Diceros bicornis minor: one gene and its partners. The protein of the gene in region 1 binds, or shares a complex with, the protein of each later gene. Links are inferred from orthologs where the notes say so. Each region holds a gene or a part of one and is shown on either strand. Other genes may lie near its edges. The genes, in order: FLCN, LAMTOR2 and LAMTOR4.

Region 1 (10,362 bases):
GGGCCAGCCCCATGGCTTGGTGGTTAGGCTCAGCGTGCTTCACTTCGGGGGCCCGGGTTCGGATCTCAGGCACGGAACTACACCACTCGTCTGTCAGTGGCCTTGCTGTGGTGGCAACCCACATTCAAAATAGAGGAAGACTGGCACAGATGTTAGCTCAGGGCCAGTCTTCCTCAAGCAAAAACAGGAGGATTGGCAACAGATGTTAGCTCAGGGAAAATCTTCCTCAGCAAACAAAACTTTAAAAAATGTTTCTCTCTCACCAGCAATATTCAATTTTTTAAAGTGTGTCAACTTGTGTAGTCGATCACATTTTCATTATTTACATAAAGCAAACTGAAACCTCATGAGTCACAGTAAAAAGTTGCCCCTAATAGAGAGGCTTTGGGGGTCCTGTGGCCTATTGTGATAACTGCTCTGCTTCACTGTAGGAAAGCAGCCACAGGTGATCTGATACATCAGTGAGTGGCTGTGGCTGTGTTCCAAAAAAATTGATAAAAAAATAGGTAGAGCTTGGGATTTGGCCCCTCATTTAAACCGTCAAATTCTCCAGCTCAAATTAGTACTGCTGTGGGCTGCACATTTTCACTTAGGCTTACACATTCCTGTGTAAGAAAGAAAATATTTAATGGAAATGTTCCTTTTGTCAGTGTAGCGAATTATACTTTAAAAAAAAGAAAACAAATTGGACAACTTCTGATTTACCTGGATCTGAATTAAAATCACCTAAAATGTGTTTGAGAATCCTAGTAGCTGCCAGTCTTGGCTATTTAAAGAGTAACTTGGGGCCGGCCCGGTGGTGTAGTGGTTAAGTTCACGTGCTCCACTTCAGTGGCCCAGGTTCGTGGGTTCGGATCCCAGGCATGGACCTTCATCACTCATAAAGCCATGCTGTGGCGGCGTCCCACAAACAAAATAGAGGAGGATTGGCACAGATGTTAGCTCAGGGACAATCTTCCTCACCAAAAAAAAAAAAAAAAAAGAGTAACTCTCTTGTGGAATTCTAATGAAGTGGACACTTAGTTTTTTCCCAAAATGGATTCATTAAAACACATTATTTTGAAACTTTGACCTCAAAAAGGGGTATGGTATTTAGGGTCCCGCTTCACAGGTTCAGGTCCTGGGCGCGTACCTGTACCACTCATCAGCCATGCTGTGGTGGCAACCCACATACAAATAGAGGAAGACTGGCACAGGTGTTAGCTCAGGGCCAATCTTCCTCAAGCACAAAAAGAGGTCCTACTGTTTGCCGACCACGCATCCTCGTCCCTCTTGTGTCAGTGTAGGAAGGGGAGTGCTAGTTGTTGCTATCTCTCAGCTTTACACCCACCTTTATATATTCTTTCTGATTCTGGGGCTAGCAGTCTGCAATCCACATTTTTTTTTTGCCAGCAGGAGGCAGACTAGAAGGCTAGGGAGGAAAGAGACAGGCTCCTTCCTCTCTGTGTCCTGTTGAAGAGTCAGACCCCAGCAACAGCCCTCACCCTGGCAAGGACGGTTCAGCAGCAGCAGCGAGCCCCACGTGTTTCCCACGCTCCTAGAATCAGCCTCATCGCACCTCCTCAGAGATACTGGCCCCAGGCGGCAGGCCTCCCCTACCTCCCCACACAGGTTGGGGACCCAGTCTCTTCCCTTTGTTCCCCCAGCCCTAAGGGGGGTATCTGCTTCCTGCAGTTACTACAGTGGTGAAACTTTTTTCCCTTCTCCAATACCTGGTTACTGGATCTATTAAATTGTTTCTGTTCAAGAAACTGGCGAGTGGTTTGTCTCACTTGACAGGAGTTACTTTTGAAAATCTTACAGGGTCGAGGAGTTTCGTGACCTTGTTTGTCACTAAGAAGAGAATATAAGACTTTGCACATGCTGCCTCTGAAAATATGTTGCCTGGCTATGCCTGTGTCTTGTTTTTGAGTACTTATCAAAATCTGTTTGCTGAATAGTCTGCTTACTGAATCTGTTTGCTTGAATATAGACTTAGCTGTTTCTTTGAGTTAATTCTCAGCAGCAAATTATTTTGGGCAAATGTCTATTTATGAAAACCTATAGCATTTTGATGGTGCCAGAAGATGGTGATTTGCACCTAGGGAATTAGGGCAGTTGCTGAGGTCCAAGGATGTAGCCTTGGGTTGGTGTTCATTAGTGGACCTATCAGTTCTCTGAGGACTTTTCAAGTTTGTCTTTTCATGGTAATCTCAAATGTTAATAAATACTCCAGATTAACGAGGATAAGTGCCCTCAGAAGTCAGCACTGAATTACATATGTGTTTTTATTCATATTGGTACAAGTGAACTACCCAAAGGGACAATGTGTAACTTTTAATATAGGTTTTCTTAAATATGTATGCTTGATCTGAGAAATCTCCAGTTTGGGATATAGTGGTAAAAGGTATTCTTTAAAGAAACATCTGGTTGCATGTTTTTGAAATGGCAGTCGATGTTTTCTGAGCCAATGAATGGTACTAACTGGCAATAAAGCAGTGGCATTTTTCTGCCCTGTATGCCTGTATGGATGGCACCTTCTTGACCGTGTTTAGTAAATTGAAATCCCAAACAAAACTGGGTGATAGAACATTACTGTGAAAGATACCCACTAGCCTTAGCAATACAATCATGCCTGTGTAATCTAATCAGGGACAAATACTTTTACTTTTCTAGCAAACAATTTAGCAGAGGGGAAGTTAAGTCTTAGGTTTTCAGGTGTGCTGAACTGTTGGTGTTCACTGGTGGACCTACCTTGTTCAAGTTCCCTCCTCTTTCTATGCCAACGGTCAAGTTGCATATTAATTCTCTCCTGTTACTTGCTTTTCAAAGATGCAGTTTTAGGTTTAAGTCCTAAGTTTCTGGGTTGCAACTTGAAATGGTAGTGAACTTGTAGAAGAAAATGTTGTTTGCACATAAGTCTGAGTGGTTGCAAAGGGCCCAGAGAAAATAAATGACTGGGTAAATCAGATATTTATGAAGAGGAAAATGTGATGGCTACTTTTTTTAGGTAGCTGAATTATTTAATGATGGTAAACAAAGACAAAATCCTATCTGTCTCCTTTCCTGAAATCGAAAGTTGAGACCATGGTCCCGTGGCTTAGCGGTTAAGTGCGCGAGCTCCGCTGCACCGATGCACCGCTTCTCCGGCCATGCTGAGGCCGCGTCCCACATGCAGCAACTAGAAGGATGTGCAGCTATGACATACAACTATCTACTGGGGCTTTGGGGGAAGAAAAAATAAATAAAATTAAAAAAAAAAAAAAAGTTGAGACCAGAGAACTTTAATTGTAAAATGCATTTAATAAGCCTAGATCCATAATGAACTGTTAAAGTTTATTATGAGACTAAAAAGAAACCACTTGGTGTTTAACAAGCAGCTATTAGATTAAAACACAAAAAGCCAATCAGCTGAATTCTCACTGGGGGAGGGGGTTAATTTTTAAAAGCTTTCTGAAAGTGCTATGGTAAAAAATGCTAAATTAACACTAGTGGTTTTCTTTTTTTTTTAGAGAAAATATTGGACTACTAATAGTTCTTGCCTTGCAACTGGCTGGACACCTTATCTGCAGAGTTGATAGTCTAATAACCTAAAACCTTAAGTTGACTTAGAGGTTGTACGTGAGAAACTCTACCCATTGTTGGCTGCCTTTCAGCAGCTGGCCAGATTCCCAAATTGTTAAACACAGGGGATGTTGTCTTGGTTGTTAGAAGAAAGGAAAGCTTAGATTATTAATTATTTTTATAACAGGAAATCTATTATACTACCCTTAAAATAATCAGATGTGATTAAAAATATTAGCTCCAACTGCTTACAAATGAAACATACCCCTTCTTCCTGAAACTGAAAACTGATTCAGGGACATGGTGGTTTGACTCAAAGATAAAGCCCAACTGTCGTCTCTAGCTACATGACAGCCTACCTTGTTAAGGGTACACCTAAAAACCTCTGCGAGAAATTTCACAGCGAGACTTGATTTTACTTCACTTCACTCTGTCAGTCTGGACGCTCAGCTGTCAATACCTTTCAATTAAGCCTCTTAGTTTAGTGGTAGGCAGACAGACAAGCGTCAAGAAATCTTTATTTCTGATCGAGCCCATTTCCGTGGTGAAAAAACATGTTCTGGACTGTAAATGCCAGGCACTAGTATATCCAAGGCTTTTGGTAACATTTCATAAAGTTCCTATTACAGATAGAAGCTTTGAGTTTAGCACAGTATTTCATTTGGTTGAGCGTTGTTAGGTGTTGTTGCCAGTTTTGCTTTTTCACTGATAATGTGGGGTACATTTTCTGACTTCTAAGATGTCTCTTTTGTTGAATGTCCTTGAAAATTATACTCTGAGAGAGCCCAGTGTAATTAACCTTTGGTACAATTCACTGAGGCAAGGAACTGGCATGTAGTTGCTGCTTTTAAACAGATTTATAGGTTTATTTGAGAAAGTACCTCCAAAAGAGCTAGGTGGCTGAAGCCAGCGGTGCTGGGAAAGATATAAATGACATACATGGAGTCCAGCTGCAGTCGAATGCACACTGGATTGTACTGAAAATGGCAGAGGTTGAATAAACCTTCCTCCACTTGTGACCTTCATTAGCCTATCATTACAGAAATAAGGATAATCTGAGCAAGGTAGCAGCCTCCACTAACAAACAGAGGCAGTTAATTCCTGGAATTAAAGTTACAAGATGAAAAAAATATAGTTTTTTCTTATCTTAAAACCTGACTAACCAATGTTAGTTTCAACACCACCTACCACTAAGAGAAAATGGGAAAAAACAAGATTACCAAAAAAAAAAACGGAAAAGAAAAAAATATTCCTGTCTTCCTGATTGAAGCAATAGTATACACAAGTGGATTAAAAAAAAAAAAAAACTAATCTTCTTGTTAAATGAAAACAGTCATGGTAACTGAAAATTTCAGAAAGTTTTGTAAGTTCTTTTTTATTAGTGTGGAACTCAGTTAATCAGATTCGCGTTCAGAATTGCTGTGGTGGCCATTTTCAGGGTGAATCCTGTTCACCTGGACAACGTGGAAATGTTTTCTTTTAGGAATTGGAAAGGCACAGCCACACAAGGAGGCTGCAGACACTTTCTTGCACCTTTCCTTTAAGGCTTTCAGAGTATTTTGCAACCTCAGTACAATTCAAGTTTCTGAACTGTTGATGACAAAAGTAAAAATAGAATTCCAAATCAGTATACCCTTGTGGGTTTTTTATTGTTGTTTCTGCAGAAATTATCCCGTACTTACTGGCCACCACCCTGTCTGTGCTGTCCAGGGTCAGGAGGAATTGGATTGGTAAGAATAATTAAACACATGACGGCGACGCCTAACCTCCTAGCTGGCCCCCATACTCCTTGGTCTTGACCGCCGCAGTACAAGACGGCAGAAAACAAACTGCAGTTCGTCCTGTCCTCACGCCCCCTCTTCACAACACGGAACTTCAGAGAGAGAGAAGGAAGTGACCTAGGTGACTTAAAAAACAAAACCGCGCGCGTCCACTGGAGGATGGCCGAGCGTTCTGCCGGCGCTTCGCGACCAGCAGTGTGGACACGGCGCCCGGCGCTCCGCGGTGAGGAGCCCACGGCGGGGCCAGGGCCTGCGGATCGCGCCGACACGAGGTGGCAGCACCGCCTCACGGGTCAAGCCCAGCTTCCTGCGGTTCAGGGTCTCTGTCCTCTCTCCAGCTCCTCACTCTAAGGACCCACATTACGTCATGCACTGACGGCTTTAAGGTCAACTTTTAAGTAGACAGACTGAATAACAGGCGCCAGGGTTTTCAAAGCATTGTTACTTACTGACATATTTTAAAAACTTGGACATACCGCTCGCGTTGGTGAGCGGGCGGGGGTGGGGGAGGTCAGGCACCAGCGCACTCCCGCCCCGCCTCGGGCACAGGCCCCGCCTCCTGCCGGCACGTCCCACCGCGGACCGGGCCCATCGGCAATTTAATAAAAACCTACGATGAAACAAAAAGAAACTGTAGCGCTCTTTATAACGTCAAGACGTTCTCTCTCTTTTCCTCTTCGGTGTGGACCGGGAGTCCTGGCTGGCTATGTTTTTCCTCAAATCTCTTTAAAAAAATTTTTTTTTAATTTAAGCATCCCCCCTCTTGAAGTGGTTTCGTCCAGTGGCCCCAGCTGGGGCGGCCTGAACCATTCCGCAGCTCCCCCATTCCGCAGCTCCCGGTGGGGGCGCCGACGGGGCGGCGGGCGAGGGCGGCGCGGACGCCCTTCGGCTGCCAGCCCTGCCCCGGAGTCGCCCGCTCGCGCAGTCGCCTCTGGCGTGCGGCCGCGGGCGCGGCTCCGCTCGCCTCGCGGTCTGGGGCGCCCCCGCGGAGCGGCGATGGTACGGCCCGGCCGGGTCACGCGCCTCGTCCCGGCGGGCGCGGCGGCGGGACCCGGGTGAGCGCGGCGGCCGGGGGCTCGGGGGCGCGGGCGGTTCCGGGCCGCCGAGCCCGAGGTGAGGTGTGCGCCGCCCGAGTGCGGTCCGGGGCGGGGCGGGGCGGGGCGGGGCCGGGCCGGGGCCAGGCGGCGGGGTCGACCCGCGAGCCCGAGGCGGGGCTGTCGGGTACTCCGTGGAGGCGTGGGGGCCTGGGGAAAGGCCGGCGGGGCCGCGGGGGCCGCTGGATCCGAGTCCGGGGGCGGAGAGGTCGGGGCCTGAGGGGCGGGGCAGCCTGGCGGCCTTCCGGGTAGCCGAGGGGCGCGCCGCGGTTTGCCTCGGTGCGAGGCGGGCTGGTTAGCGCCGGGTGGCGAGGGCCAGAGCGGAGGGGCACCGAGGCCCTGAGGCGGGAGGGGTGGGCGTGGCGGAGCCGTTAACTCGAAGGTGGCCTGGCCAGCGTCGCCGGCCTCTCCTCCTCCCGTGAGGCCGTGAGGCGCGCTCGGCCTGCCTCCCGCCCGCTCTTTGCCTGCCCTCGGGTTTAGGGTCGTAATTCCTCTTCTCCCGGCCAGCGTTCTGAGGGGCACTCGAGGAGCCGCAGGCCCAGATCAGTGTCCTCCGGGGAGGAGAGACGTTTCTCCGGCTGCTGGGGACTGTCAGACGCATCCTTGTCACCTGGAAAGAGTTTAGCCCAGGGATTGGCTCGCTGCGGGTGGAGGTCCAGGGTGGTCATCAGCAGCCATCGGAGGCGGAGGGCAAGGAGGAGCTTGCGGAAAGGAGGTGCTGGTTCTCCAGCCCTTGGACAGCTGGCACCACCCATGGTGTCCATCCAGGGTGGCAGGGGTCTCTTTGCCACAGCAGAGAAAGTGCTGGAGGCACTAGGTTACAGCGCTGTCATCAAGGAATTGCGTAATAGCGGCACGTGACACTGCTCTTTGAATGTCCTCCGGTCAGTGAGCTCTGTAAGCAGAAGTCCAGGTGAGGTCGGTGGAAACAGTAGAGGCACCACGTGAGCGGTCTGAGCTGGAAGTAACCCCCTGCGGCGCTTTCCTCCTGCGCTTGCTGCCCCCCCCCCCCCCCCCCCCCCGCCGCCCACTGCAGGAGGCTCCCCTGCGGGTGGCTCGTTCAAGCAGCTGCCGGGGCTCTGATGTGCACCGCGGGTTAACAGCCATTACAGTACCGAGTTTATTGCCACGTGTTCCACTTAGCGGCATCTCGAATCATCCGTGGTCCTGTGAGAAGACCGTGGGCAGTGGGGATGACACAGATCCGGGCGCATCACAGGAGTGGGAGGATAATTTGGATGTCACTGTCCCGGTCGGGGGGCTCAGCCACTGTGGGAGGGAGATAATGTTCGTGGGCAAGGACCCAGCTCTTTGAGGTAGGTGAATGCTTGCTTGGAGTATAATGTTGAAGAGACAGTTGGGCAGGGGAAGATTTTTTCTTCTTTGGATTCTAGAACATTTGTTGGAAAGGAAGAACTGTTAGGCATACTCAAACCAGATTGTTTTTTTCAGCAAACATCTGGTAGAGATTGGAATTGGGGAGTGAATAAGGGACCAATCTCCTGCTACACAGAATTCTGATTCCATGTGTAGTGGTTATCTCTGAGAGGGAGGTTTGGCCTGTTTCTCAGCTTTAGGGTGGTGCTGAGAGAGATGAAGTAACATATTTGACATCACCTGGCTGGCAAGGGCTGGAGACGGGTGCTTTTCTGACCCAGTAGGTTTGTGTGATTGCACAGCTAAGTGTGATCTATCTCGTGTTGTCTCACTGCCTTCCAGTGGCTGCGGCTCTCATGATCCAAACAGTCAGAACTCTTGTCAGGCAGGAGTGCTTTTGTTGTAAAACCAAAGAAAAAATAAGAGTAGCCCAAGTTGGTCCTGGATGCTGGAAGTAGCTTAGCAGCATCACTCTGGTCCTCTCATTTGAGGAGGAAAACTTGTAGGCCCTCGGTCTGAGGGGTTACATTGGCGTGAAGTGGGTGCTGCCAGAGCGGCCCCTTTATAACCAAGAGTTGGAAGGGTGAGGACTTTATGTTTTTTAATATTGTATGTCTTACAGAGACACTTAACATGTAAATGTGTTTCAGGAGACCGTGTATGAAACGTTGCTGTAGAGGTGTAAAACTTCAGCTGAGGCTTGGGCTGCAGTGTCGACTTGCTGTCAGCTGCTGCTCAGAAGGTGGGAGGCCTGCTACGCGGTTCAGAACCGCGGGAATCCCCACATCCTCTGTGGTGATGTTCTGATTTAAGGTTGGCTGTAAGCTGCTTGAATTTTTTCACACCACGAGGCCCATGGCTGTTAGAATTAGCTCTGCTTTCTTTTCTCACCTAGAGAACGTCGGGTCTTAGAGCTGAAGTCTGACTGCGGTTGCCCTGCCTGACTCATTTGGAAATGGCCTTGTGTGCTCTGGCCTAGGCGGCGTGGTGGACGTGTGATTCTGCTAGGTGTGAAGGTTTGTATGGACGCTCTGCAGATGGGGTGAGCCTTGGCCAGGTGCTGCTTGCACGTGGCTGTCTTTCTAGAAGGAAACCTATTTCTCTTTCTCTTCCCTTTTATGCCTCTGGAAGGAAGCCATGGCCTCCGTTTCCAGGGTCAACACTTCTGCCTGGACTCTGGGCCCCGATTCCTCGTCTTCTGAGGTCCTTCTTCCGTCAGTGGTCGCATCACCCCGTCTTCCATAATGGATTTGTAAACCGTGTTCCTTGAGCACACCATAGTGAGCCTTGTGGACCCTTTATTTAAATTCAGTTTCTTTGATTCCGTGACACTAGGCTCTCTGACTCTTGCGTTCTCCATGGTTGTGCTTTTGAACCTCTCCTGCCCGTAGATACCCTCAATGAGCTCTCCACCTTCTGTGACAGCTGTCTTCTCTCTGTGAGCAGCTCCTTTATTCACTCATTATCCAACACTTATTAATTTGGTGCCTACTGTGTGTCGGGAACTGTTGTAGACTAGACAAAGTCTACCCCTCAGGGAACGTTCATTCCAGTACAGTAAAGCCAGGGAAGGGGAGAGAGTGTTGGGGGTGGAGGTGAGTGGCTCTTCTGGGTGGGCTGATTAGGGGGGCCTTTCTGAGCAGGGGACATGCAGGGAGAGGCTGAATGGTCAGGAGGAGTGAATCCAGTGAAGGTCTGGGAGGGGTTCCAGACCTTACCCCCAGCCCTGCCCTCTCTGATACTGCAGACCAGAATCTCCATGGAACTCGCAAGGCTTTCCAGCCAAATGTTCTCCTGTCTCTTAAACTCTGTCTCCTCTGCCGCTGCCCACGTCTCTCCAGGAACAGCCCAATACCTGGCTCTCCATACCTGCCAGCACCCCTCAGGTCCTCCCGTCTGATCCTCATGCCTGACTCACTGTCGGCCCAGCTGACTTTCTCTTCCAATGTCTGGTTTGTGTCGGCTTCTGCCATTCCCTCTGTAACCACTCCAGCTCCAGCTCCTGCCTCAGGGACGAGGACAGGTGCAGCGGCAGCCATGTCAGCTGAGAGGTTGATTGCAAAACTTCAGGTGGGTGGCAGAGTGAGTGGGCAGGCTAGAGAAGCGGGCTCTGAGCACAGCCGCCAGCAGGGAGGCTGCTCAGAGGGCACATTGAGGGACAGGCCATGAGCAGGTTGTTGAGGATGCTGTACCCGGGACACACTCCCCCAGGGGACTCCCTGCCCCCACTGTGCGTGTTCATACTGTCTGCACTTGGCCTCCCTCCTCTGGGTTCAGCGTCCCAGGCAGGCACCTCTGACTGGCCAGGCTGTGGTTATGCCCGTGCCTGCCTAGTAGGTGATGAGGACAGAGGATGTCTGACCTTCTTTGGCTCCGTAATGGGGGCCAGGGTCCCCGAAAGAGAAGAGGGTTTTGGATCCTGACCAAAGTCCACTATTCAAACATTCAGAAATTTAAATGGTTCCTCATTGTTTTGAGCAAGGCTGTCCAAGAGAACTACCTTTGATGATGGAAATGCTCCGTCATCTGTGCTGCCCTTTTAAAATGGTGGCCGTGAGCCACATGTG
Region 2 (9,833 bases), on another chromosome or scaffold:
TCGGCTGTTTGACCCCAGATCTGCCTCACAACCTTTGAGCCCCTGGTGCAAGAAATCTGTCAGAACAACAGTCAAATTCCTTGGACACTACACCTCGCCCACTTCCCTGAGGAACTCTGCCGTCTTTTGCCCTAGTGCCTCAGTCCCATGCCAAGTTGGACCATCCCTGGCTATGCACTGTGAGAATTGCTCTCAAGCCAAGGTCTTCCCTTAGGGGGCTGGGGAAGGAAAGAGGAGCGGACAGCACCCCAGGCTTGCCTGGGTCTGGGGGAAGGGAATCCCGAGCCCAGACAGCCCTCCCACTGCCCCCATCCCTGGCCCCACCTGTTCCCGGGCAGCACTGAACATGGGCTCCTGGATGTCTGTGTACATGCGGCGGAGGGCATTATACCCTCCGGGGATGCTCTCCAGGTTGCTCAGGGCCCGGTCCTGGTTCCGCATCATCTCCTGCATCATGGCTGGATTCCGAGCAAGCTCCATTGTCTAGTGGAGAAGGGAGAGAGACAGAATGGGCCCTGGAACCAGGGGAGCACCAAGCTTGGAAATGCGTGGGCCCTGAGGAAGGGGTCTGCATCAGGACCAGGGCCCAGGGCCCAGGAACTGCCCCACAGTGGCAGGGAGTAGGTTGAACTGGGCTTCCTTTCTCTACTGTCCCTCATCTTGGCTCCAACCCTGCGTCCTTGTGGGTATTCTGGTTGGCTTTTTCTAGTGGAGAACAATGATCCCAGATGGGGTGAGGGCAGAAGCTTCGCTCCCTCAGGTTCAGGGGGTCCTCAGAAGTGTCAGGGAGCACAAGGAAATTGAGTAAGAAAAGACACAAAAAAGGGGAGGAGGCAGAAGAGAAAATTAACATCTACAAACTACATATACTACACACAGGCACTGGACTAAGCAATTTACAGAATTCAAGTCATTTAATCCCCATAACAACCATCCCCAGGAGGTATTTCTGTCACTACTCTGCAGATGAGAAAATAAGCTCAGAGACTCACAGCCTGGGGGACACACAGCCAGTTAGTGGAGGAGCCAGGTTTCAAGGCCAGGTTGGTCTGTCTGATCAAGGCCATACTGTGGAGCCTGGTAAATGACCACAGTCGGGGAGGGAAAGGATTCAAGCTGGGACAATGCTACTGACACTCTCAACACCGCCCCCCAGGTCTTGGCCTGACTGAATCTTGAGAAACAGTGAGGATGGGGGCTTTCTTTTTGGAGCTAATGGCTCACTCTCAATTAGGGGTGGCCTGTGTCAACTCCAGGGGACAGACAGCAGTGCATGATAGAAAAAATGGGCACAGCTACTTCTTGTCCTCATGCAACCTGGAATGCTTCCCCTGTCCTTCTTCCCAAATTTGCTCCACACTTCCCTCTTCTAAGACACCTTTACGTCTAAGACAAGACTCTGATCTCTTATCCCGATTCATTCACTCAATAAGTTTTTTTTTTCTTTTGTGAGGAAGATCAGCCCTGAGCTAACATCCATGCCAATCCTCCTCTTTTTTCTTTTTTTTTTTTGCTCAGGTAGACTGGCCCTGAGCTAACATCCATGCCCATCTTCCTTCCTTTATGTGGGACGCCACCACAGCATGGCCTGACAAGCGGTGCGTCGGTGCGCGCCCAGGATTCGAACCCGGGCTGCCGGCAGCGGAGCGGGCGCACTTAGCCACTATGCCATGGGGCCGGCCCCTTGATAAGTATTTACTGAGTGACAGCTATGTACCAGGCACTGTTCTAGACAGTAAACAAAACACTTGCAAATCCTTGTTCTTACGGAACTTATCTTCTAGTAAATCCAGCATTAGCTCTACTGAGACTGTCTATCCTTGTCTCCCCGTGGATTGGGCCGAGACGGAGCTCCCAAAGACCAACACAGAACTGCGTCCCCTGGGTCTCCCTCACCCACCCAGCCCTGCCCAGCCACAATGCTCCCCGAACATCCTACTGTCTTTTACTCCCAAGCCTTTGTACTTGTTGTCCCTCGGCCCTGAACACTCTTCTCTTTTTCTTCCTCTGGCTCATTCTTCCTTCTTTGGGTCTCAGCTTGGGTGACACTTCCTCTAGGAGGCCTCCTCTGAGCCCCAGGGTCGAGTCAGGGGCCCTTTTCTGTGCTCCTAGGGGATGCTGTGACTATCTCTATGATAGCACCAATCCTGCTGTATTATAATTGCCTGCTTACTTGTCCCACTTCCCTTTGAGACCATAAGTTCCTGGAAAGCTAGGCCTGTGTCTTTCCATCACTGTACCCCCAGTGTGCAAAACACAGCTGCTGAATGACTGAATGAACAGTTCAAGTTAGGACAAGGTGGGAAAATGCTAGGCAGGGCAAGGCTGGGTGCCAGGTGTCCTCCACCACCCACCCCTCCAACCTTCTCTCAGACCCACCTGCCTCATGAGCTCGGGGTTGTTGAGCATGTGGCTGATCTCGGGGTTCCGCTCCATCAGCTGCTGCATCTGGGGGTTGGCCATGATCATGTGACGCATCAGGTCGGGGTTAGACATCATGTCCTGGACCAGGGGGTTCTCCATGATCTGTGACAGCATCTCGGGATTGGACATGAGCTGCCTCTGCATCTGCTGCTGCAGTTCCATGAAGTTGGCAGAGCCCAGGCCCAGGCTGCCCAGGCCCAGGATGCCCCCAAAGCCAGCTGTGGGGAGGGGGCAGCGTCACAGTCTGCTGCAAGAGCCCTTCCCCCACCTGGCCAGAGCCACTGAATTCAGGTCTCTGGGACAGGCCCCCTCTGCTTCTCACATCATTCCCACAGCCCCAGGCCTGATCCACTGCTGGAAAGAGATGTTAGCCTACTAGACTGAGAGCTCTTTGATGGCAGAGACTGAGAGCCGGGCAGAGTATTGAGCACAGAGAGGGCACCAGTGATGGCCTGTTGAATGAGTAAATAAATATTCCCCAACTGGCTACGGTTGGACCCACTTTTTCCCCAAACTCCAATATCCTCACCCAAGGTTCCCCACATCCCCAGCCCCATTTCTCCCTTCACTCTCAACATTTAGCCATGCTCCTCTCCTCAGTGAAGCACTCACAGACTGGTTTCCTCCCCTACTTGGCTCAAATACCAATATCTGGAATTCTATGTCCAGGGGTCTCCTATCCCCACCAGACCAGGAACAAGGACCATGTTTTTGGCTCCTCTTGGCTCTCTCCCACTCCCCAGCCCAAAACAGGACTGTGCCCTCCTCCCTAAGGGCTTACAGAGTATGGATGCAGTAGCACTGGGAGGTCCCTCCCCAGCCCCTGGGGAGGGACCCCCCCCACTGCTCCTCCGGCTTCCACTGCCAGCATCTGAAGTGGCACTGCCAGAGGTGGAGGGCTGGGCAGGGGTGGCGGGTGAAGCAGGCGTGGTGGAGGGTGCTGAGGCAGGGTCTGGAGTGGAGGGGGAAGAAGCAGTGGCAGCAGCTGGATCTTGAGCCCTGAGGACAGAGAAAGACAAGTCCTAGGTGAAGTGATCACAAGAAGAGAGAAGACAACAATCTAGAGTTTGCTGGGCAGCTACTGCCCTGACCTAAGCCACCTCCTCTGCAACCCTGAGGCGGGGGTGGGGTGATGCCAGGGACACAGTCAGTGAATCAGACAGAGGGAGGGAGGGAGAAGTTAGTATCTTCTGTCTTCAGGGCATTCTGGGAGAGGTACGTCAGGTTCCTTCCCCTGGAGGGAGACCACAGGGCTGTCCAGCAATCCATCCAAAAGCCACCTTCATAGGCCAGTGGCATAGGCCCTCTAGGTACAGTTGAGTGACAGGTGAGAAAGTATCAGATGGGGAAAAGAAGCCCAATCAGAAGTTGGACCTGCTCCTCTCCTGAACTTACTTCTGAGGGGTTTTGATGACCAGATGGACAGTGAGCCCATCTTTGATCCCATGCTGGTTCAGTGTGTCCCCATCCTTGAGGATCTTGCCTGCGAAGATCAGGACCAGCTGATCCTGCTGAGCCTTAAACCTCCTGGAGATTTCCTCTTTGAACTGTGATCAAGAGGCAGAGATCACTATGGAGGATGCCTGGGCTCCACCCACCAGTCACCCTGCCTCTTCTTCAAAAGCCTCTGGGGCCAGCCCGGTGGCTTAGCGGTTAAGTGTGCGCACTCCGCTGCTGGCGGCTGGGGTTCGGATCCCGGCTGGGGTTCGGATCCCGGGCGTGCACCGACCCACCGCTTATCTGGCCATGCTGAGGCCACGTCCCACATACAGCAACTAGAAGGATGTGCAGCTATGACATACAACTATCTACTGGGGCTTTGGGGGAAAAATAAATAAATAAAATTATAAAACAAAACAAAACAAAAGCCTCTGCATGCCCTTGCTCCCAACGCTAGTCCTGGGAAGTCCCTTCTGCAGTCCCAACTCCATCCCTCCAGCTGCAATAAGCAGCTCCTTTGTTAACCATGGAGATGGACCAGTGAGAGGCTCCCCTCTCAGCTCTACCCCAGGGCCTCTCACCCTAGAAAGCTCTTGCTGCTATCTGCCACTCTCTCCTCAGTCCCTCCACCAGTCCCCTGTGAGGGTACTGCCTTGGGCAGCTCTCTGCATCCCAGTTCCTTCAACAGCCTTGGACCCACACCTTGTCTCCCTTCAGCATTCTCTTCTCAGACTCCAAATTTCTCTCCTCCTTTTATTTGCAGCGTTCTTGTAACAACTACAACAAATAGATCACTAACTATTCACGAGTTAAGAGTCTAAGTCCCATGAAATACATATTAATTATTATCTCCATTTTAAAGATGAGAAAACTGAGGATCAGAGGAGTTAGGTAACTTGCCCCGGGGAGAATGAAACTCAGGTCTTGATGCCAAATCCTAGGCTCTTAACGAAACACACTGCCTCTCAATTAGAGCTGATTACAAATTCAGTTTTGCAGGGAAAAGTATTTAAATTCTGGACTGTAGTCATTTTCTAAAGGTGGGGGCAGCGATGGCACAAAAGACTGGCTTGGGGAGAGTTAGACTCCCCAAATCTATCAGCCCCTCCTAAAACAAAACAAAACATACACTCTAAGTAAAAACAGTGCACTTGCTGAGCAAAGGGAGCTTCCAGATCCCTCCCTTCCAACCAGATGGCCTATCTCAAGCCCCGCCTATGTGAAATTCTGGAGAAGCCACAGGGGGGTGGAACACAGGCAATATTCCCTCATTCACTCATTCAACATATTTTTATTGAGCACCTACTGCACACTGTAAATCCCAGAGGGGCTTAGAACCAAATGTAACCACCTTGATTGGAAAGAGTAGGAAGGATCTGGGCAGAGGGAATCCGCCCCCCGCCGCCCAGGCGTCAGAGAAGGCAGGGGCGTTCTCTGGGGCACACAGTAGGCGCCCGGAGCTCTCCGCCGGCGCCCCTCGCCCGGCCCCAACTCTGCCTCGGTGCCTCGAACCCCGACCAGTAACCGGGACGCACACTACCCTCAAACCCAGGGTCCTTCCCCCTTCCCCGTGCAAGGTGTCTCCTCCCCACACTCCACCACGCCCCCAGCCCAGGCCACAAGGCAAACCCCGGCCTCCCTTCCCCAACACGCGCCACGCTCCCCCAGATTACCCTCGCAGGACGCCCTCAACCCTCCTCTGCTTCCCTCCCGCTCCTCCGAGCGCCTGCTGGGCCCCCGCCCTCCTCTCCCTGGCCCTCCGGTACACCCGACCGTCTCTAAGCCACCCCCTCTCTTCGCAGACCCCTCCTTCGCGCTCCCCTCACCCCCCCGCCACCCTTATTACCTCCTTGACCGAGGCTCGATCGCAGATCACAATTTCCTCCTTGTCTTTGGGGGTCTTGACGGTGACCCGAATGGGGGGCCTCGTCTCGGCCCCGCTCGGCTCCGCCATGCCGCCGCCGCCACCCGGCCGCCCGCCAGCCCGCCCCGGCTCCTCCTCCTCCTCCCCGCCCGCCCGGCCGGCCCGGCTCCGGCGCCTCCAACCCTCCCCTCTCCCCTCCCCTCCCTTCCCCAAGGCTTCGTCGCCCCCTCCGGACCCGCCGCAACCACAGCGCCCCGGGCGGACCGGGGGGGGCACTGCAGCGGGGTCCGCCCTAGGCCGAGCCCGGGGTCCGGCAGCCTGGACAGGGCCTCGCTGGGGGGTGGCCCCTGGAGGGGCTCGGGGCGGGGGCGGGAGAGTCCTTCATTGTGGGGGCGGGGGCGAGCTCCCCGCGAGAGACCACCGCCCATCCTAGCCGGCCCGAGCCGCGCTGAGGTCCCCTTCGGTCCAAAGCGGCCCCCGCCCCCTCCGCGGGTAACTCCTGCTCCGGGACAAAGGACTTTCTGTATCGTCGCTTTATCTCCGTTCCCTGTGATAACTGGTCTTTCTCGGGAAGCCCAAGTCCTTTCCAGATCTGAGGCCTCTCCCGACTTGGAGGTTGGATTTTCCCACTTCTGGACGTCCACCTAAGATCTCATCTCTAGGATTGACTCTATTCTCCCAAGGGTCGTGGCCTGAATGAAGCCTATTAAGTACGGTTTCAGAGACCTGGGTTTTGCATACATGGCCTTTCTGAACCTTGATTTCCTCAATAGCATCTTTCTCCTCATCCCACAGAACCGCGCAAAACGTAGAAAACAGCTTTGAAAAGTAACCAAAGGTGGGCCTGAGAAAAAGCGGGATTTTTTTTTTTAATTACTGAATCGTGGATTGTCAAGCAGACATGATGACTCTTCTCTCCCCGAGGGCGTTAAATGTCCTTCCAGTACTGCCACTGTCCTTTTACTCCCGCTCTTTTCCCCCATAACCGCGTGGTCTCACTGGAAAGGCGAGCCATAGTTCCCAGAGTGCCTCGCGAGGCCGCAAGCAACTACAATTCCCGGTGACCCCCGCGGTGGGGCGGTGTTGAGTCAGACCCACACAAGCCAGGCCAGGAAACTACAACTCCCGGGACGCTCCGGAGCAGGGCCGCTGGACTACGGGAAGCGGCAGGCAGAGGCCAGCAAGAGGCAACTCCGGGATCTTGGGTGCAAAAGCCCAAGGTTAGGAGCCGCAGGCATGCTGCGTCCCAAGGCTTTAACCCAGGTGCTAAGCCAAGCCAACACTGGAGGTGTCCAGAGCACCCTGTGAGTGCGGACTGAGGACCCCAGCGCGAGCACTGGAGTGGGGCGGCGCGCGGCTCTCCAAGGGAGGGGTAGGGTAGGATCTCCGGGAAGGGAGGAGGTGGCAGAAGGAGCAGGGCAACAGGCCGGGATGGCTCCTCTCGAAAAGAGAAACCGACGTGGTGGGTGCTCGGGGCATATCCCAGGACACCCTCAGCACAGACCCTTGCTTTCTGGAAGCGCCGGTGGCGGGAGTTGGGACGGAAATTCAGGCATTTTACTCCGATCTTGAGCATGTCACTATCCCTCCCCGTCCCTTGCCAGGCTGCTGAATAACGAGGGATCTCTTCTGGCCTACTCCGGTTACGGGGATACGGACGCCCGGGTTACCGCAGCCATCGCCAGTAACATCTGGGCCGCCTATGACCGGAACGGGAACCAAGCGTTTAATGAAGACAATCTCAAATTCATTCTCATGGACTGCATGGTATGGAGAGAGGAGCTACTTCCTCTGTCCTCGAAGGGGATTCCCAGGGGGCGACCCGGACCCCATCCTGGATGGTTGGAGGGGCAGGGACAGGATCTCTGGAAGATTACTAAGAGTTGGTCTGCAGCAGCATTTATAATAGGCAGGACCCTATGCATCAAGTGGTGGTGAGGGAGGAGCCCTGGACCCGAGGTCTGACTGGGGTTCTGGTCTCAGCCAGCCACTAACATTTGTGGAACCTTGGGTAAGTCACTTAACCTCTCTGAGCTTCCTTAGCACACCTCTAAGGGGGAAACAATACACACAGGGTTGTTGTGAAGATCAAATGAAAGAGTGGATATAAACCGTAGGATGATGTACAGACACAAAGTGTTGTCATCCCAGATTCACAGACTCAGGGAAGAATGGCACAGTCTCCAGACACTAGTCCAGTCCCTTCAGTTTACAGAGAAAGCAGATGAAGTCCAGAAAGGGGAAGTGGCCATTAGGCTGTGAACTTCTTGGAAACAGAAACTGTCTCACTCACCTTTGTATCTGTTCAGTCAACAAATTTTTAGGTCCCTGCAATGTTCTCGGGACTTGGAGAAAAGTAGCAAACAGGACAGACAAAAACTATTTATAATGAAACTTAGTCTTAGACATGCTTTAAAATAAGTAAAATATGTATGTTTTGTAAAATAAGTGTGTAAATATGTTTTACAAAATAAGTAAAATATGTATATAAGTTAAAAAAGTAGTATGTTAGGTATTGAAAATGCTGTGGAGAAAAATAAAGCAAGGAAGTGAGATAGAGGCGGATGTGTGTCAGGGACAATCTCATTGCAAAGGTGACATTTCATCACAGATCTGAAGGAAGTTGGCAAGCCATGTGGCTGTCTGGAGGAAGAACGTTTCTGACAGAGAGAACAGCAGATGCAAAGGCCTTGAGGCAGAATGCTGCCTGGTCAAGGATCAACAAGGTTGATGTGGCTGGAGTGGCATCAGAGTGGCATGGGGAGGTTAGTAGGAGCAGAGTCCAGACAGGCAGAGAGTGTAGCACCTGGTTCCCAGCACTCGCTGGATACCTAGTGAAAATTTGCTGAACCAAATTAAAAAGGCCTCAACAGGGGCCGGCCCCGTGGCTTAGTGGTTAAGTGCGCGTGCTCCGCTGCTGGCGGCTGGGGTTCGGATCCGAGCGCGCACCGAGGCACTGCTTGTTAAGCCATGCTGTGGCGGTGTCCCATATAAAGTGGAGGAAGACAGGCACAGATGTTAGCCCAGGGCCAGTCTTCCTCAGCAAAAAGAGGAGGATTGACAGATGTTAGCTCAGGGCTGATCTTCCTCACACAAAAAAATAATAAATAAATAAATAAAAATAAAAAGGCCCCAAGAATGAACTCTCCAGAAAGGAATTCCACTGTAACTCAGCTGCCTACCTCATCCTTACCCCCTGTGCAACCAAGGATGTCATTTCAGTTCAACTGATGACTCCTCCTGGGTGCCTAGCTTAGAGCTGGTGCTTTAGGGCAATAGCTTTCAAACGCTTTGATCACAACTGGGCCAAAGGAAGTACATTTTAAGTCAGAGCCCAGTGCACATATATACCCACTAAAACAAAAGTTTTGCGAAAAAGGTCTCGGCTTACAACATGCAATGCACTTCATTTCTCTTCTTTTTTCTTTTAATGCTGATCACCTTCTTAATTGATCTCCTAACCCTGGGGTCAGACCTGCAGTTTGAAAAGCATTACCATGGGAAAAGAGGAGAAGCATAAGTTGGGTTACTGCTCTCAAGCCCCTTACATTGTTTTGGGGTGAACCCATAATAATAATCTCACCCATTTGGACAGCCCTTTGCAGATACAAGACTCCTTCATGTGTACTGGCGCCCTCACCAGCTGGGGTGAGGTTGGGGTTACAGAAAGAGAAACGGAGTCCCTGGGAGATTGAGTTTCCCAGCGTAACTTGGTTAGTAGGTGCCTGTGCTGAGGCTGGAATTGGGGTTCAGGACCCCATGTCCAGGGCTGTGGCCAAAGCCCCACTGCTGAAGCTCCTGCGTGTGCCCAGGGCATGGGAGGAAGATAGAGTCTCTCTCAAGAGGAGCCCTTGGGGAAAGAGGGGGCTAAGGTGCCAAGCCGAACATCACATCCCATGATATTGTCCCCACCAGGAGGGCCGTGTAGCCATTACCCGAGTGGCCAACCTTCTGCTGTGTATGTATGCCAAGGAGACTGTTGGCTTCGGAATGCTCAAGGCCAAGGTGTGTACATGCCCATCCCTCTGCAGTCCTGGGCCCAGCCTTTGTGCTCCATCACTGTCTGTTCCCATCCCCACCACCTTCCTGCAGGCCACCTGTCACC
Region 3 (9,422 bases), on another chromosome or scaffold:
TAGTTGTGTACGTGCATTGTTCTCTTTGGTTATCGTCTCAGCCCGGCACAGATGGCCAGTCCATTCCGGGCTACGACGCTCCAAGAGCCTTGAAATGTTACAACTTGGAACTCTCTCCATGGGAGAAAGGCCAGTTCCCGGGAAAAGGCCAGTTCCCACCACACAGAAAGCAGCTTTGTATTTCTTTTTGTGCTGGTGGCTGTAGGTCAATGGAGCGGCCAAACATGGCTGTACTCATGTCAAGACACTTATATCAATTTAATTCTCAGACCCAGCTGAAAACCCTAAGAGGGCAGAGATAAAATTTTGCCTCCCTTACACTGTGAAGGTATTTTTTAGATATGATGAATATTTAATTTTGAATAAAGCAGATTATCCTCCATAATGTGGGCAGGCCTCAGCCAATCTGTTGAAGGTCTTAAGAAAAAAGACTGAGGTTTCCCGGAGAAGAAGGAATTCTTCTCAAGGCTATAATAACATAGAAACCCTGCCTGAGTTCCAGCCTGCGGAATTCAGACACAAGAATGCAACATCAACTCTTCCCTGAATTTCCAGCCTGCTGGCCTACCCTACAGATTTTGGACTTGCCAGCCCCCACAATTGCATGAGCTAATTCCTTAAAATTTCTCCCGCTCTCTATCCCTCATTCTCTGGAGGACCCTGAATAATACAGTGGTTAACTTATGGCTAGTTTCTGTTGGTTTTGTGTCTTCACCACCCCCCTTAGCATCCTTCTTCTTTTCAATCCAGATTTTTTAAAAATTTTATTGTTTGCTTTGGAACTAGACCTCCTTGCCTCTCACACACAACTTCCTTCTTTCTTATTTTCCTAGAACAAATTATTACCCTATCAAAGAGCCATCAACAGACTTCCCAACTGCTTCTCTACCTTTCTTGGTTCTCTTAACCCTGACACATCCATTCAACCGGCACTTTTCGAAGACGATAGGGGTAATAGTCAGGCGCTTTGGAAATAAAATGTTGAAGACATCACACCCTGATTCCCAGGCTGCTCAGGTTGTAAGTGAGTTGGCGGGCAAACAAAGAGTTGCAGTGAAGTGTAGTAAGTGGTACACTAGAGATGTAGGTCCCTTAAGATCCTGGTGGGACAAGGTGTGTGTGTTGGGAGGGGTTGAGCTGGGGGTGAATAAAGGACTGTGTGGTTTCCAGTCAGGAGGCTCTGCGAGGCAGAGAGAGGGAGTGTTGAGGTCGTTTGGAAATGGCTTGGACAGGAGTGAGGAGGCCAACTCTGCCACTGGGATGGATCCAAACACATTATTTCACATCTCAGGATTTGTTCCCTCCTTTTCAAAAGAAGAAAGTACCGTGGAAGGGGAAAGAGCAGAGTTAGAGACCATGAGGCCAAAGAAAAAGTCTCTAAAAACCAGAAAGAAGTTCTGGGAGCAGCTGGGACAATATAGAAAAAAAGTACTCAACTTGTAGGTTAGCAACGTGCTAGGTGCTGAGGTCGACACCAGCATTTCAAAGGGGGACCAGGTGCTTATCTTCAGGGAACTCATAGTCTAAAATAAGCTCAACGAGCACTCTTGAGAATATTCTTACTCTGGGCATGTAGACACCCACACAGCTCACTCCCTCAGGTCTCTGTTCAGTTGTTGCTTCATCAGAGAGGTTGATCCTGCCCATTTGATATAAAATAGCACACCCACCACCACCCTGACCTTCTATATCCTCTCACTCGACTGTGTTTTTTAACTTTTTACTCAAGTATAATATATATACAGGAAAAGTTCTCATGTCATAAATGTACAGCTCACTAAATTTTCACAAACTGAACGCACACGCGACACCAGCATCCAGATCAGGAAACATTATTACCAGCCCCCAGAAGCACTCCTCTTGTCCACTCTCAACCCTTCCCTCATGGATAACCACTATCCCAATTTCTAACAGTGTACTGCTTTTTTACTCCACATAAATGGAATCACACAGAATGTACTCTTTTGTAATTGACTTCTTCACTCAACATCAAGTTTGCGTGATTCATTCATGCCATTGTGTGTACTTTTAGTTAATTCATTCTCATTGCTCTATAGTGTTCCTTTGTGTGAGTGTGACACAATTTATTTATCCATTCAACCATTGATGGGTATCTGGGTAGCTTCCAATTTTGAGTTATTAGGAATAAAGCTTTTATGAACATCGCAGTACATGTCTTTGAGTGAACATACGTACATATTTCTGTTGGGTATATGCCTTGGGGTGAAGTTGCTGGGTCATAAGACCTACTTTGTTTTTTTAATTATTAAATCTTTCATGTATTAAAATAAGTGTGTATGTATGTACACAGAGAGAGGGAGAGACAGAGAGACTTAGAACTTAATAAACAGAATATTACTGCCATAGTCCATTCAGGCTGCTATAACAATGTACTATCGACTGGGTGATTTATAAATACAAACATTTATTTCTCACAGTTCTGGAGGCTGGGAAGTCCAAGATGAAGGCACTGGCAGATTCGGTGTCTGGTGAAGGCCTACTTCCTGGTTCACAGATAGCCTTCTGTGCTGCGTCCTCACAAGGTGGAAGGTGAGGGGTCCCTGGGGTCTATTTTATAAGGGCATTAATTCCATTCATGAGAGCTCCACTCTCATGGCCTAAGCACTTCCCAAAGTCCCCACCTCCAAATACCATCAAATTAGGGATTAGGGTCAATATATGAATTTAGGGGCGGGGACAAATATTCAGTGTACCTATAGCAATTATCAATACTTTAAAACCCTTTGTGTCTCTCTATCCCATCCCCCTCTCTATCTCAGAAGTAACCATTATTCAAAATTTTATTTATCATTCTCTTAATCTTTATTATTTTGAGACACAGTCATGTACCACATAACAACGATCTGGTCAACGACAGACCAGATCTACGACAGTGGTCCCATAAGATTAGTACCATATAGCCTAGGTGAGTAGTAGGCTATACCACATAGGTTTGTGTAAGTGCGCTCTATGATGTTCGCACAACAAGGAAATCACCTAACAATTAATTTCTCAGAAACTATTCCCACTCTTAAGCAATGCATGACTATATATGGATAGATACAGATATAGATACATAGATAAAGCACTAAGTAATACTTTATTAATATACAATATATAACAATAATATATTAAATAACATTATATTAATATATTATACAATATATAATTATTATATAAATTATTTTGTTTTTCATGTTTTTGAACTTGATGTAAATGGAACTCTGCTTTATTTTTCTTCATAGCACTTCTCACCACTTAACATTTATTTTCTTATTTATTTATTATCTGGCTCACCCTCTCCCTCACAGCTCCTTGAAAACAATTAAAAAATACGTCTTGTTTTTATTCAGTGCTGTACCTCCAATTCCAGGAAGAGTGTCTGGTACCTAAAAGGTGCTCAATAAACACTAGTTGAACAAAAGAATGAGCAACTTCGCTCTCCACAGCAGTAGTGTGATGCAAGCTGTTTGTCAAAATGAAGCAATTCTAACGATGGCTGATGAGCATTGTCCTGCTAAGGGCTCCTCTGTGTCAAGAAAAATGAGAACAGGGAATTTCTGAGGTAAAATTAACTGTAACTTAAAAAAAATAATAAACGTAGTTGGCCGATGGAGCAATGGAAAAAGCAGCAGCCTCAGCATGAGCAGACTTAGACTGGATTCTGGCTCTGCTGCTTGCCAGCTGTGTGCTTGTGAGCGAGGCTCAAATTTTTTTGTTGCCACTTCTCCATGTGCAAAATGGGGATACTATTATAGAGTGGTTAATGAGAGAGTTAGGTGAGTGTATGAATGAAAATGCTCTGAACAGTAAGCGCAAAGAAAATGATACTACAAAGTGCCATCAATATCTAAGGCCTGGGGAAGCTTTGCTAATTATGCATCTCCACAGAACTTTCTCTCTCTAAATCCTCCTCCAATTTAAAGTTTATATTATAAGCATACCTCATTTAAAAAAAGGTATCCATCTTTTCTAATTAGCTTTCTCCTCAACCAACAGTACTTATTTTTTTGCGATATAATACACATACTGTAAAATTCAACATTTCAAAGTGTACAATTCTGTGGTTTTTATTACATACACAGCATTGTGCAACCATCATCACTATATAATTCCAGAACATTTTCATCACCCCCAAAAGAAACCCCATATCTATTAGCAGTCACTCTCCATTTCCCCCTCCCCCAGCCCCTAGCAACCACTAATCTGCTTTTTGTCTCTATTGATTTGCCTAGTCTAGCATTTCACATAAATGGAGTCACATAACATGTGGCCTTGTGTGTCTGATTTTTTTCATTTGGCATAATATTTTCAAGGTTTATCCATGTTGTAGCATGTCAGAACTTCATTCCTTTTTATGGCTGGATAATATGCCATTATATGGATATGCCACATTTTACTTATCTATTCTTCAGTTTATGGATATGTGGGTTGTTTCCATTTCAGGGCTATTATCAATAATGCTGCTATAAACATTTGTGCACAAGTTTTTGTGTTATCATATGTTTTCAATTCTCTTAGGTATATGTTTAGGGGTGGAATTGGTAGGTCATAGATAAACCCTATATTTAACTTTTGGAGGAATCGCTGATCTGTTTTCCACAGCAGCTGCACCATTTTACATCCCCAGCAGCCACGTACGAGGGCTCCAATTTCTCCACGTCCTTGCCAACAAGTACTAATTGTTTTATTTCTAGAATCATCCTTCATTTTACCTCACCAATACTGCCTCAGTCACATCAGTATTGCAGCAGGTCTATAAACTAAATTAAAACAAAAAATTTCTATGTTACACTCAGATATTAAATAATGACTCCAAGTTACTGTTTCTAATTTTTCCCGGCAGACGGTATTCAGTATTGCAGCTGCCTCGGCTAGCGGGGGACTCAATTCACCATCACCCCGTCCCTCACAGAATCCCTGGACGAAAAACCACTTCTGAACAAATCCCCCTCTTAGCTGCCTGGAACAGGCAAAAGAGTAGTATTTCAACAGCTTTTCACACACATTTCACGTCACTTCTCTCTATTCTTGCAGTCCTACTCGTGGGCAATCCCGCAGGGGTAGAACCCGTACCCACCACCCCCTGCGCGCGCTGGGGCACACCCTCAGCCCACGCCCCTCTCTCCGACCCCGCCCCTCCAGGCCGTCCCCTCCGCCGACACCTCGCCCTCTGGGCCTGAAGGGCGGGGAGATGAGTCTTAAAGAGAGTCTGCGACCAATCCGCGCGCATCTCCAGGAAGCGGCGCTCTGCACTGGCAGATTAAGTCTGATGACGTAGCCACAATCCAATCCGCATTCTGGGGGCGGGGCTAAAGTCTGGGGGCGCAAGGCTGGAGGAGGAGAACGGCGGGTGGAAGCACGTGACCTGGGTCTGGAGCCGGAAGCTACCGATCTGGTAGGGAGCGGCCCCGGTACCAAAGGCTGCGATGGTGAGTGAGGACGCATGCGCGGGAGTACGTACCGGGGGTTTTGCGTCGCTGTTCCCCAGTCTCTTTGTTTGCCCCCTTCTAGGTCCCCACTCTGCCCTCACCTCGTCACTGCCCAGGACAGACAGGGAAGGGAGATGAGAGGGGTGGCGACGTAGAGGGCTGAGGAGAGATCTGTGGGAGGGTGTACGGGGGCCTGGCGAGTAGTCTGCGGGGGAGGGGCGGGCCATAAGGGGAATTGGAGAGGGGGCTGTGAGGAGGGACCAGTGGGGTAGCAACGGTGGGATGTGGAAGGCCGCGGGGTTGCGGGTTTGCGGGGGGCGGGTCCAGGGGCAGAGTGAGGACAGAAGGAGGCTCAGGAAGATCAGTGTTGAAGGCCATGTAGAGGGAAGAGGGTCTGGAAGGGCCTTGGGTGGGGAAAGAAGCCTGGGGGGCCATTGTCAAGAGACACTTGGGTTTGCCAAGGACCATCCTCCCAGCATGCTTCTCACTGATTCATCTTTACCCACTAGACTTCTGCACTGACCCAGGGGCTGGAGCGAATCCCAGACCAGGTCGGCTATCTGGTGCTGAGTGAAGGCGCAGTGCTGGCGGTGCGTTCTGGGAAAGGGAGGCGGGGTCCCCCAGGTACACATGGCCCGGTGATCTCTTCCAGCGTTGCCCCGTTTGACCTAATTTGTCTCTCGATCTTTTCCTGGTATCGTGCCTTGCCATATAGTAAGCTTTCAGGAATTAAATCTCTGGAATCTTAGTCTCATAACTGTTCTGAGGTAAAAGAGGTTTACTAACTTTACCAAAGTCAGCCCACTAGTTACAGGTTTGTTGATAGCTGCTGTTACCCGAGTTATTCTCGAGTATGTCTTTATGTGGTATTTGTTGAAGAGGCTTTGTATTTTGTTCCATAGTACAATATAGTGATAGCTCTCTAGAAGTTTTCAATCTGGCTAGAGAGACAAGGCTAAAGCTTAAAAGTTGAAAGCAATGCAGGTGGTTAAGGCTACTGATGGAGTCCAGAAAATGAAGGATTCAACCCTTCATGTTATAACTTGTGTTTGGGCAAGGAAACTTTCTTGGAAGAGGTAAGAATTCAGCTGGGCTTAAAGGATGGATGGTTGTGAACAGGCAGAAAAGAAGGCGAGTATTCAAGGCTGGGAGGTGGACACATTTGTGGGAGTGTGGTACCAGCCTGTCTAAATTGGCGCTGGGTATATGTTGAAAAGATTTGCGGGGAAGAAGAGGCTGTGGTAAGGGAGGATCTGATTGTGGAGGACTGTCAAGGCTGGGTTAACACATTTGGATTAATCTTGAGGGTAATAGGAGCTTTGAAGGGTTTTTGAACAGAAACATGAGCTGATGAAGTGATTGAGTGAGACTGTTCTATCAGGTCTGAAGATGGGCCAGGAGGGGCAGGATTCGGAAGCAGGGATGCTGCTACTGAAATTTAGGGATGAAACAGAGCTGGTGGCAATGAGAAGGAGCAAGGAGAGATTTTAAAGGAATCAATATATCTCGGTAATGACTAAAGATGGGTAACAGACAAGATACTTCTCCATCCAGTAATACTTGGAATTCAAGCCTAGAATGATGGTGCCTTAACCAATTGGAAATTAAGAAAGGAAGTTGATTGCAGAGGGGGAGAGGTAAGGGGAATTTTGATGGCTTAACTTGAGACACTGAGTTTGATATAGAATAATAAGATATATTGCTAGGAGCTGTTCTAAGCATCTTGCCAATATTATCTTACATAACCCTCACAATGAGCCCATAAGGTAGGTACTGTTGTCCCCAATTTACAAATGAAGAAACTGAGGTACAGAATGTCCAGGAGAACAAAGGGCACTGAACTTAACCTAGTGGGTAGTGGGAGGCACATATTGAGGAGGAAGTTGAGACAGTCACCAGAAGAGAGGAAGCCCAGGCCACTGTCACATCACTACCCAAGGGTTAGGTAGTAGGGAGGCGTTCAAGGACAAAGGGGCTGTTTATGTTTCAGATTCTGCAGACAGAGCAACAAGTGGAAGACTGAGGAAAAGAGGGGGCCTTGAACAAGTCAGTGGTGGGTAGGCACTGATGTTTGAGAATGTGGCTTTATCAAATAAGTGGGGACAGGGAGACATATCAAGTTTCAAGGGACTAGGAAAGAATGGTCAGTAAGGAAATGGATGAAGAGTCACTGCTTCTCGGGGGAAGCCCAGTATTATAAGGATGAGAAACAGGGTGGCAACAAGGTGGGCAACAACATCATAGGAAAGTTTTAGGTTTGTTTTTCCAAAACTGAGGGTGACCTGGGGGTATTAGAAAGTAGATAGGGAGAGATTACAGGTGCTAGAGCCAAAGTGACTGTTCCCGGAATTCTTTCCCAATTCTGTCCCCTAATTTCTGCCATCCTCCTTCCTCTGTCTGCCTGCAGTCATCTGGGGATCTAGAGAATGACGAGCAGGCAGCCAGTGCCATCTCTGAGCTGGTCAGCACGGCCTGCGGTTTCCGGCTGCACCACGGCATGAATGTACCCTTCAAGCGCCTGTCTGGTGAGTCCCAGCCCCTGCCCCTGGTGGTGGTGGTGTGGGGGCGGGGGGGGGGGGAGGGGGCGTGCTCCCAGGGGCTTCTCTTCTCAGGGAAGCAACACCTGTCTCCTACCAACCTCCCACCATCTCCCCCTGGGGTCGCTGTTTTTGGCTACTTACTTCCCCTTGGGATTCACTCCTGCATCAGAATTATGAGAAAGCAAGAGAAGGAAGGGGATTTCATGGAGACCTCCCATCCTCAAATCTCTGAGCCTGGAACTGTTGAATCTCTTGGACTTTTTTTTGTGTGTGTGAGGAAGATCGGCTCTGAGCTATCATCTGCCAATCCTCCTTTTTTTTTGCTGAGGAAGACTGGCCCTGGGCTAACATCCATACCCATCTTCCTCTACTTTATATGAGATGCCGCCATGGCATGGCTTGACAAGCGGTGCGTCAGTGCACGCCCAGGATCCGAACAAGCGAACCCTGGGCTGCCGCAGGGGAGTACGTACACTTAACCACTTGTGCCACCAGGCCGGCCCCGAATCTCTTGGACTTTGATCCCCACCAGTTTGTGTGTGACCCCATAGAGACCACCACACCCCCCTAACTCTGTGCTCCCTTCCCTCTCCCCGGGCGGGGGAAGGTGTGTCTCCCCTCCAGTGGTCTTTGGAGAACACACGCTGCTGGTGACCATATCAGGACAGAGGGTGTTTGTGGTGAAGAGGCAGAACCGAGGCCGGGAGCCCATTGACGTCTGAGCCTGCCAGAGGGTGAGGGGCAGAGGTGGACTGGGTCCCTGAGCCTCTGTGATGAGGAAGACGCAGACCTCCTCCACCTCTTTCTTGGCTGCCTGCTAGAACTAAGGCTTTCTGTCACCCACTTCCTCAGCCCTACCTGGAAGGGCAGAGGCTTGGGACTCTATGTTGCACTATGTTAAAGAGAATGAGGGCAAGGGGACCTTCCTCTTCCCTCCCTTCCTCCTAATAAACGTGAGTCTGATGTTCCTGGGCCCAGGGATATGTGTATGAGGGGTGGGTGTTACGCCCCAAGTCTGTCTGCCACCTGGAGAGACAGTTGTGTACCTCAGCCCAGAGGGGTAGGGCAAGGCCACCTCTGGGCATATAAAACTAGGAATCAAAAAAAAAAAGGGTGGGAAGGAGCTGAGGGGAGTTATGTGGTGTGCATGCTGAAGGGATCATTCTGAGCCCCTGGGTCTCTCCTGCCACCAACACACAAACAACAGTCCTTCTCCCTCCTGAACAGGCGTTTAATAGTCTTATTTCAGTTGGAAGCAGTCATTGAAGAATAACTTACAGGAATAGACAGACAAAAAAACCCCCAAAACCCCACACAACTTAAAGTGCTTCAGGCTGCAAACGTAAACATGAAGGGCAGGAGGAGGCCACCTAGCTATCTCCCCTGACCCTTGAGCAGGAGGGTCATTGTCATTGTCAGGGTCCCTTTACCATCACCACCCTCTAATCTC

The links.
Region 2: FLCN (region 1) and LAMTOR2 share a complex: the UniProt entries of both Homo sapiens proteins name them as parts of the lysosomal folliculin complex. The link is inferred for Diceros bicornis minor from reciprocal best matches to the Homo sapiens genes FLCN and LAMTOR2.
Region 3: FLCN (region 1) and LAMTOR4 share a complex: the UniProt entries of both Homo sapiens proteins name them as parts of the lysosomal folliculin complex. The link is inferred for Diceros bicornis minor from reciprocal best matches to the Homo sapiens genes FLCN and LAMTOR4.

What each region holds. Positions count from the first base shown.
Region 1 is NC_080757.1:736,922-747,283, reverse strand, and holds the start of FLCN (folliculin), read left to right. Parts: upstream 1-6,275; 5' UTR 6,276-6,379; exon of another isoform or gene 6,380-6,437; intron 6,438-7,438; exon of another isoform or gene 7,439-8,537; intron 8,538-8,690; 5' UTR 8,691-8,811; intron 8,812-10,362. UniProt on the Homo sapiens protein: Multi-functional protein, involved in both the cellular response to amino acid availability and in the regulation of glycolysis.
Region 2 is NC_080743.1:59,699,916-59,709,748, forward strand, and holds the start of LAMTOR2 (ragulator complex protein LAMTOR2), read left to right. Parts: upstream 1-6,833; 5' UTR 6,834-6,964; coding exon 6,965-7,032; intron 7,033-7,332; coding exon 7,333-7,495; intron 7,496-9,643; coding exon 9,644-9,733; intron 9,734-9,833. Other genes in the region: UBQLN4 (ubiquilin-4), read right to left, coding at 325-483, 2,380-2,642, 3,206-3,423, 3,820-3,971, 5,711-5,818. UniProt on the Homo sapiens protein: As part of the Ragulator complex it is involved in amino acid sensing and activation of mTORC1, a signaling complex promoting cell growth in response to growth factors, energy levels, and amino acids.
Region 3 is NC_080765.1:5,493,786-5,503,207, reverse strand, and holds LAMTOR4 (ragulator complex protein LAMTOR4), read left to right. Parts: upstream 1-5,380; 5' UTR 5,381-5,429; coding exon 5,430-5,456; intron 5,457-5,941; coding exon 5,942-6,022; intron 6,023-7,839; coding exon 7,840-7,957; intron 7,958-8,596; coding exon 8,597-8,694; 3' UTR 8,695-8,944; downstream 8,945-9,422. UniProt on the Homo sapiens protein: As part of the Ragulator complex it is involved in amino acid sensing and activation of mTORC1, a signaling complex promoting cell growth in response to growth factors, energy levels, and amino acids.